Linked DNA regions of Arabidopsis thaliana. The protein of the gene in region 2 interacts with the protein of the main gene of each other region in a pairwise test. Each region holds a gene or a part of one and is shown on either strand. Other genes may lie near its edges.

Region 1 (3,927 bases), on a different chromosome or scaffold from region 2:
ATGGTTTACAGAAAAATTGAACAAAAGATGATGCTAATTACCTTGAGAAAATTAGCCACAATCAAAGCGGTTCGCTGTGGATTCAGTGTGTTGATTGGTACCCCTCGCATTTGTTCTACAACGCTATACACATGTACAACCGAAAGAATTGACCCAACCACCAACTGCAGATATCAGCCTTTTCATAATAGAGTTGCAATCCAAACAAATAGAAACTGCATTTTGAAATAGAGAGTAACGATGTAGCAGAATGACATTACCTTTCCCTCCATTGATGAACATATTGTGGACGCAAGTTGAATACCAGCACCTATCCCGGCAACATTGAAAAGAGTAGAGATAGCTTCTCCTTTTGCAAAAATGTCACTAAGATTTCCTTCTTTGGCAAAAGATGAATATATTGGTAATCTTGTTGCCCTTGCTGCAACTGTAGCCATTCCCTATTTAAAACAAACAATGCCAGAAAAGTATGAAAAACAGGAAACCAGTGAAGCTGATTGATGTATAAAAGGATGGTCTTTAGAAAGCTAATATATCTCATAGGTCTCCTATTGAAGCTGCTGAGGAAAGCAGGCACAGATGTTCTAAGAAAGATATCTATACCTTAGCAAAATTCCCCAGACCAGCCATTTCAAGAAACAGATGCGGGCATAATGGAGAAACGAGTTCCAGACCAGTACCAAGATCGTAAAGCACGTCAGCTGAAAATTATGAATCAATACTTTTTATAGTTAACGCTATAAAGACATCAGCAGAAACATGTAGCTACAGAATGGTGCATACCCAGAATCCTCCACCGTTTAGGCTCAGAGTCCATTCTTGCACCCAAATTGCTACATATTAGCTTTCCGACATGTTGCATCCCATCCTTCAATATCTACAGAACCAATAGAGTAAACAAAACTTTCACTTACGGACAGGGACTGAACAAGCAAACGAACAAACAAACTGAAGTGGTTTAACATACCCAGCTAACAACAGTTGCTTGTGCCGGTGTAGGCCGCAAGCCTGCAGCAAACAACAGTGACTGCAAAGGAATGATACAAAAAAAAGTTATGTGTCCATGTGAAAACCTCCATTACAACAGCTCAAGTAAACAAATGCAATTTTCCCAAAATCAATAATCAAAGCTGAATCATGAAGAAGACCTGAGTCGATAACACTGATAATGCTGCACTAGAGAAATGCTGAAGTGCTCGAAACTGTGTGTACCTAAGATATCCTTCGTTGACACTATAGAGAAGAAGTAAAGAAAGAAACTTGGTTAAAACACATGCTTTAAGGCTAAAGCCTAGAGACTCTCTAAAAACAAAAGTTCCAAACTTTGAGTTCACCTGTATGGATAACCAGAAGGAAAGAACTTGTTAAGGAAAGATTCAACCATCTTCTGAGGAACAGGTCTTGCATCATCAACAACTTTCATCTAAAACGTGATAATTCACATAATGATTCTACAAGTTGAGAGCAATGGCATAAGAGAGACAAGAACGAGGGAGAGGGAGATTTACAGAGAGGTGGCCGTCGGATTGGAACTGATAACGGTGAGAGACAGAATCAGAGGTTTCGAACCAGTAAACCGGAAAGTCTTCAGGGCTCTTCAACATTACTGGGTCTTCCTTCTTTATCAACTTCACCTTCTCCTGCTTCGTTCCCCAAGTTACAAAGTCATTCACTATAGTTTGGAGAATCATAAAATGAGATTAAAAATACAATAGAATAAAGATTGTGAAATCCTACAAGAAACTGCATCTCTGAGACACGATGGCACAGTCAGGTTCCGAACGTTAAGAGTCGCCGGAGTTGGAGTGAACCACCACAACAGTAATCGCCTAGAGCCGTCTAAAAACAAAATCAAAGAGATTATCTTAACAACGACGTCGTTTCTTCGTTCCTTTTCTACTTCTGAGGCCCAAATGATTTTTGTTACTATTCACTAATGGGCTTAATTAAGGCCCAATATTGATAGATACGCGGCGACTAGTTAAGGGGCAACAAATATGGCCCACTTAAAAAGAAACACGACTTTTCTTATCGCGTTGTTCTAACGCCACCGACCGAACACTTCTTTTTCTTCTGCAATAAACCAAAAAAAGTTAAAAATTCAAAAACTTAATTACTAAGCAAAAGTGTGCACGAAGAACAAAGCGACGCATCCGATTTTATTTGTTTGATAAGTTCGTGTCGTCTTCGTCTCTCTAACCCAATTCTGTGGTGTCTGAAGAAAGCAGAATCAAATCCATGTCTTTCAGAGGACTTAGCAGGGTAAAATTACAAAAAAAAACTTTTCTCTTCTTGCTTAAAATCGATGTACTCTTGTCTATGTCGCAAGCATCTTCAATGTTAAAAATTTGATTTTTATGAAGTCGATGTTAAAAAAAACTAAACCCATCTCCATTTTTACTCTTATTGAGGGTTTAAGATCACTAGATGAAGTCAATTCGATGAATTTTGGATTAAAAATCGAATCTTTTGGTATGGTTTTGATATGTGTTTTGGTTTTATATCTGTAGCCAAATGCAATATCTGGAATGGGTGTTGCAGATGAGAGCAAAACCACATTTCTAGAGCTTCAAAGGAAAAAAACTCATCGCTATGTGGTCTTCAAGATTGATGAATCCAAAAAAGAAGTTGTTGTTGAGAAAACTGGAAATCCTACAGAGAGCTACGATGATTTCTTAGCTTCACTTCCTGATAATGACTGCAGATACGCTGTTTATGACTTTGATTTCGTTACTTCTGAGAATTGTCAAAAGAGCAAAATCTTCTTCTTTGCTTGGTTAGTTTGATTTTTACCATTAGTAAGTCTATAAGGGTTTTGATGTGTTGAGACTAAAACATTTTGATTTGGGACTACTGATGTTGTAGGTCTCCTTCGACCTCTGGAATTCGAGCCAAGGTGCTTTACTCGACTTCTAAAGACCAGTTAAGTAGGGAGCTTCAAGGGATTCACTATGAGATTCAAGCTACTGATCCTACTGAGGTTGATCTTGAAGTGTTACGCGAACGAGCGAACTGAGAGCAAGCAAGATTGCTATGTCTATTCAAAACTTATGGTAATGTAATGAATAATTCGTATTCTCTGTGGATTGATTTGTGTAAACACAGTTTCATGTTCTATGTCAAACTGTATAACCTCTGGTGTTTCAGATTGCACAACCTAAAGCTTAGGTAAACTGAATATGGTTTAAGATCGTAAAAGGTTGATATATTAGTAATGTTAAGAGGGAGAAGAAACTTCTCTTTAGTAGATAACGAGAATGTTGATGAGCATGATGAGAGAGTTCTTAAACTAGTCTAGCAAATTCTGTATAAGCTCTTGTTGTAGCCATCTTGAATTCGAGTCTAATCCTTGCGAACAATATAGAAAGTGGTAGTGTGTAAAGTTTCCCTCATCATTTGTGGTTTCTTTTTCTCACTTTCTTCGGTGTAGTAAAATTTAAGTTGTATGTATAATAGTTCTATCATATACCTGCTTTCTAAAACAAAACAAAAAAAACCTCTTTCTTGTTTCCGCATATCCCCTTCCGATTCCATTGAGAGCAAAACCATTTTATGAGGTTGTATACTTAACCTACCATTCCTAATTCCTAATTGCTTAACTGTTACCAAACTGTGATGTCAAAAAGAAAAATGTTACCAAACTGGAGTCAAAATGACATAAATACCCTTGACCATTTGAGAAAAAATGTAAGGAATTAGGAGGTTGCAAGTGGGGTCCATTGCCGTTGTGGCCAAAAGCGAGATTGCATGACCCAACTGAAATCTCAATTAGGAAGGAGATTGCATTATTTTTATATGTTTATTTATCATATCTCATATTAAGGTCCATTTCCTTCAGTCTATTATCATCATGTATCCACTATTTGTTTGACATTGGGGAACATTTTAGAATAAGAAGTGGAACTGGAAAGTAAAATATATCTATTA
Region 2 (3,927 bases):
ATGCAAGCGACAAACATATTCGCACGAAAGAGTCGAATGTTTTGGTTAGTGATAGAACATTATATATTGATCTTGATCGTATGATTTCATTTATATTTAGGGACTGAATTATATATTATATTGTAACATTTAACATACAGTATATCATGTGTTGCTAGTTATGATTTACATGCACTTCGAAAATGGTATCTGATTTTTTATATGATTTAGAACTTATCTGGCACACATCATTGAATAGGATCTAACACATTAAAACACTGTCTAACTTATTTGTTTGTATGTGTGTGTTAAATCATCATTTTAGCTAAGATTTTTAACCATAGGCAAAGAAATGACTCAAATGAGCAAACGAGAAACTGCAGACAGCAACATATATCAAACTAACTCTAATAGGCCCAATATAGCCCAATAAGAAGTGTGACCGATGGAGGGAAGAATCGAATTTAAATGATACAGAGTTTTTTTGTTTGGAGAGGAATAGACTGATATGATAGTCCGTGAAAATATTTTCATCTTGTTTTCAATGTGGAGATATTTTAAAGTTTGAAACCAATCCAAGTTCTAAAACATCAAAAGCTTTTATTCTCTGTTTAAACCACTTGGTTGGTCTTGGTCTTCTTGAAATATACAAACCAGACCCAAACGATAATCAGTGAAGATGACTGCATCATTGGGTCTTTAAGTTTCCTATTGGGCCAAATCAGCCCAACTATATTATTGTTATTATTTCAGTCCATTAAAGATTTTCGGCCCGTTTTATCGTTGGGAATTCATCTATATTTCCCCAATTTGATGATACACAGAACAATTTCATGTGTATACGATAAGAGGCAAATTCAAAATTTGCAATCAATGTAAAGTGGAAATGAGAAGCATGGTGGCTCAAATCAACTTATCTTTCCTTGGAATACAAACTACAAATGATGACGGATTTGGCTTCCCTTTGAATTTACCTTTTACCTCTCTCTTTTTTTTTTTTTATAGGTAATGTTGTTATTGGACAAAAATGTTAAGAAAATAAAGGTGAATGATAAATTAGAAGAGTACCCATAACTATTTTGATTATTTAAGTTGCCAACCAAGCTAGACCACTTTCCAACTTTTATAGACAAAGTGTAAGAACTTAGCACATGCTTTCCAACAAGGAATATGAAACTTTATTTCAAAAAGATTATTGTTAAAGCTTTTAATCATTCTAAAAGGTGATTAATATTTGAATTATTGGAAGTAACTTGTTTTGGACATATACCAAATTAATCAATAGTATCAATGGACATATAACATGTTGTGAGACTATATCAATGTTATATTCCAAGCCAGTTAAACCAATTTATAATGATACCATTTATAGATAAACAATACACTTTACACACATTATTTTCTTAGAATTGGGTCTCATATAGAACACTCACAAAGGTGACTTATAAAAAATGCTTCAAAGATCCTAGTCTTTTAGTGTGCATTCCTCAAAATCGTAGTTGATATGTATCTTGCTCCTATTCGGGTTTTGGTCTAGAATTTTGGTTTCAGGAATTTTCAATTAACTCATTAAAACATTTATAACATAAAAAGATATATCACGAAAACCGATCAATCATTTAATATATTTTTATTTTATTTTATTTTTTGTCACAATAAAATCTAGACAATAGTGTTTAAACATTTATCAAAAAATTCACCTTACGATTAATTTGTTTTATATTTTGTGATGATGCAATTTAATCTATATAAATTATAAAACATATCGATAATCTGTGTTTTTCTTTTTCTACATATAAAATTCATAAAAATGAGAGTTTTGAAGCTCTTAAAATGGACTAGTCAACAATTGGCCAATCTTTGTTCTAAATTGCTAATAAACGACCATTTCCGTCAATTCTCCTTGGTTGCAACAGTCTACCCGTCAAATGTTTACTAATTTATAAGTGTGAAGTTTGAATTATGAAAGACGAAATCGTATTAAAAATTCACAAGAATAAACAACTCCATAGATTTTCAAAAAAACAGTCACGAGAAAAAAACCACAGTCCGTTTGTCTGCTCTTCTAGTTTTTATTATTTTTCTATTAATAGTTTTTTGTTATTTCGAGAATAAAATTTGAACGATGTCCGAACCACAAAAGCCGAGCCGATAAATCCTAAGCCGAGCCTAACTTTAGCCGTAACCATCAGTCACGGCTCCCGGGCTAATTCATTTGAACCGAATCATAATCAACGGTTTAGATCAAACTCAAAACAATCTAACGGCAACATAGACGCGTCGGTGAGCTAAAAAGAGTGTGAAAGCCAGGTCACCATAGCATTGTCTCTCCCAGATTTTTTATTTGGGAAATAATAGAAGAAATAGAAAAAAATAAAAGAGTGAGAAAAATCGTAGAGCTATATATTCGCACATGTACTCGTTTCGCTTTCCTTAGTGTTAGCTGCTGCCGCTGTTGTTTCTCCTCCATTTCTCTATCTTTCTCTCTCGCTGCTTCTCGAATCTTCTGTATCATCTTCTTCTTCTTCAAGGTGAGTCTCTAGATCCGTTCGCTTGATTTTGCTGCTCGTTAGTCGTTATTGTTGATTCTCTATGCCGATTTCGCTAGATCTGTTTAGCATGCGTTGTGGTTTTATGAGAAAATCTTTGTTTTGGGGGTTGCTTGTTATGTGATTCGATCCGTGCTTGTTGGATCGATCTGAGCTAATTCTTAAGGTTTATGTGTTAGATCTATGGAGTTTGAGGATTCTTCTCGCTTCTGTCGATCTCTCGCTGTTATTTTTGTTTTTTTCAGTGAAGTGAAGTTGTTTAGTTCGAAATGACTTCGTGTATGCTCGATTGATCTGGTTTTAATCTTCGATCTGTTAGGTGTTGATGTTTACAAGTGAATTCTAGTGTTTTCTCTTTGAGATCTGTGAAGTTTGAACCTAGTTTTCTCAATAATCAACATATGAAGCGATGTTTGAGTTTCAATAAACGCTGCTAATCTTCGAAACTAAGTTGTGATCTGATTCGTGTTTACTTCATGAGCTTATCCAATTCATTTCGGTTTCATTTTACTTTTTTTTTAGTGAAAAATGGCCGATGGTGAGGATATTCAGCCACTTGTCTGTGACAATGGAACTGGAATGGTGAAGGTGAGTTAGACTGTTTATTTAGATACTGTATGGTTCTAACCTTCTTTGTTGTACATGTGTAAGACTACTGATCATGATTTTTGTATATTAACAGGCTGGTTTTGCTGGTGATGATGCCCCGAGAGCAGTGTTCCCAAGTATTGTTGGTCGTCCTAGGCACACTGGTGTCATGGTTGGTATGGGTCAGAAAGATGCTTACGTTGGTGATGAAGCTCAGTCCAAGAGAGGTATCCTCACTCTGAAGTATCCAATCGAACATGGTATTGTAAGTAACTGGGATGACATGGAAAAGATATGGCATCACACTTTCTACAACGAGCTTCGTGTTGCCCCTGAGGAGCACCCAGTTCTACTCACAGAGGCACCTCTTAACCCTAAAGCTAACAGGGAGAAGATGACTCAGATCATGTTTGAGACATTCAATGTCCCTGCCATGTATGTTGCCATTCAGGCCGTTCTTTCTCTCTATGCCAGTGGTCGTACAACCGGTTAGTTCTTAACTCTAAACATCCAAGTCTGAGTTATATTATCTTCTTACTTGTATTTACTTAAAGTCGTTCTCTTTTTGTAACAGGTATTGTGCTCGATTCTGGTGATGGTGTGTCTCACACTGTGCCAATCTACGAGGGGTATGCTCTTCCTCATGCTATCCTTCGTCTTGATCTTGCGGGTCGGGATCTCACAGACTCACTCATGAAGATTCTCACTGAGAGAGGTTACATGTTCACCACTACCGCAGAACGGGAAATTGTCCGTGACATAAAGGAGAAACTTGCTTATGTCGCTCTTGACTACGAGCAAGAGCTAGAGA

The links.
Region 1: the proteins of ACT7 (region 2) and ADF6 interact in a two-hybrid assay, tested with the Arabidopsis thaliana proteins (one large-scale study listed by BioGRID).

Annotation. Positions count from the first base shown.
Region 1 is NC_003071.7:13,291,933-13,295,859, forward strand, and holds ADF6 (actin depolymerizing factor 6), read left to right. Parts: upstream 1-2,020; 5' UTR 2,021-2,238; coding exon 2,239-2,262; intron 2,263-2,510; coding exon 2,511-2,776; intron 2,777-2,865; coding exon 2,866-3,016; 3' UTR 3,017-3,478; downstream 3,479-3,927. Other genes in the region: RUS2 (root UVB sensitive protein (Protein of unknown function, DUF647)), read right to left, coding at 42-164, 261-440, 604-701, 784-877, 968-1,027, 1,149-1,233, 1,335-1,423, 1,509-1,643 and 1 more. UniProt on the Arabidopsis thaliana protein: Actin-depolymerizing protein. Severs actin filaments (F-actin) and binds to actin monomers.
Region 2 is NC_003076.8:3,049,753-3,053,679, forward strand, and holds the start of ACT7 (actin 7), read left to right. Parts: upstream 1-2,309; 5' UTR 2,310-2,510; intron 2,511-3,050; 5' UTR 3,051-3,056; coding exon 3,057-3,116; intron 3,117-3,210; coding exon 3,211-3,604; intron 3,605-3,690; coding exon 3,691-3,927. UniProt on the Arabidopsis thaliana protein: Actins are highly conserved proteins that are involved in various types of cell motility and are ubiquitously expressed in all eukaryotic cells.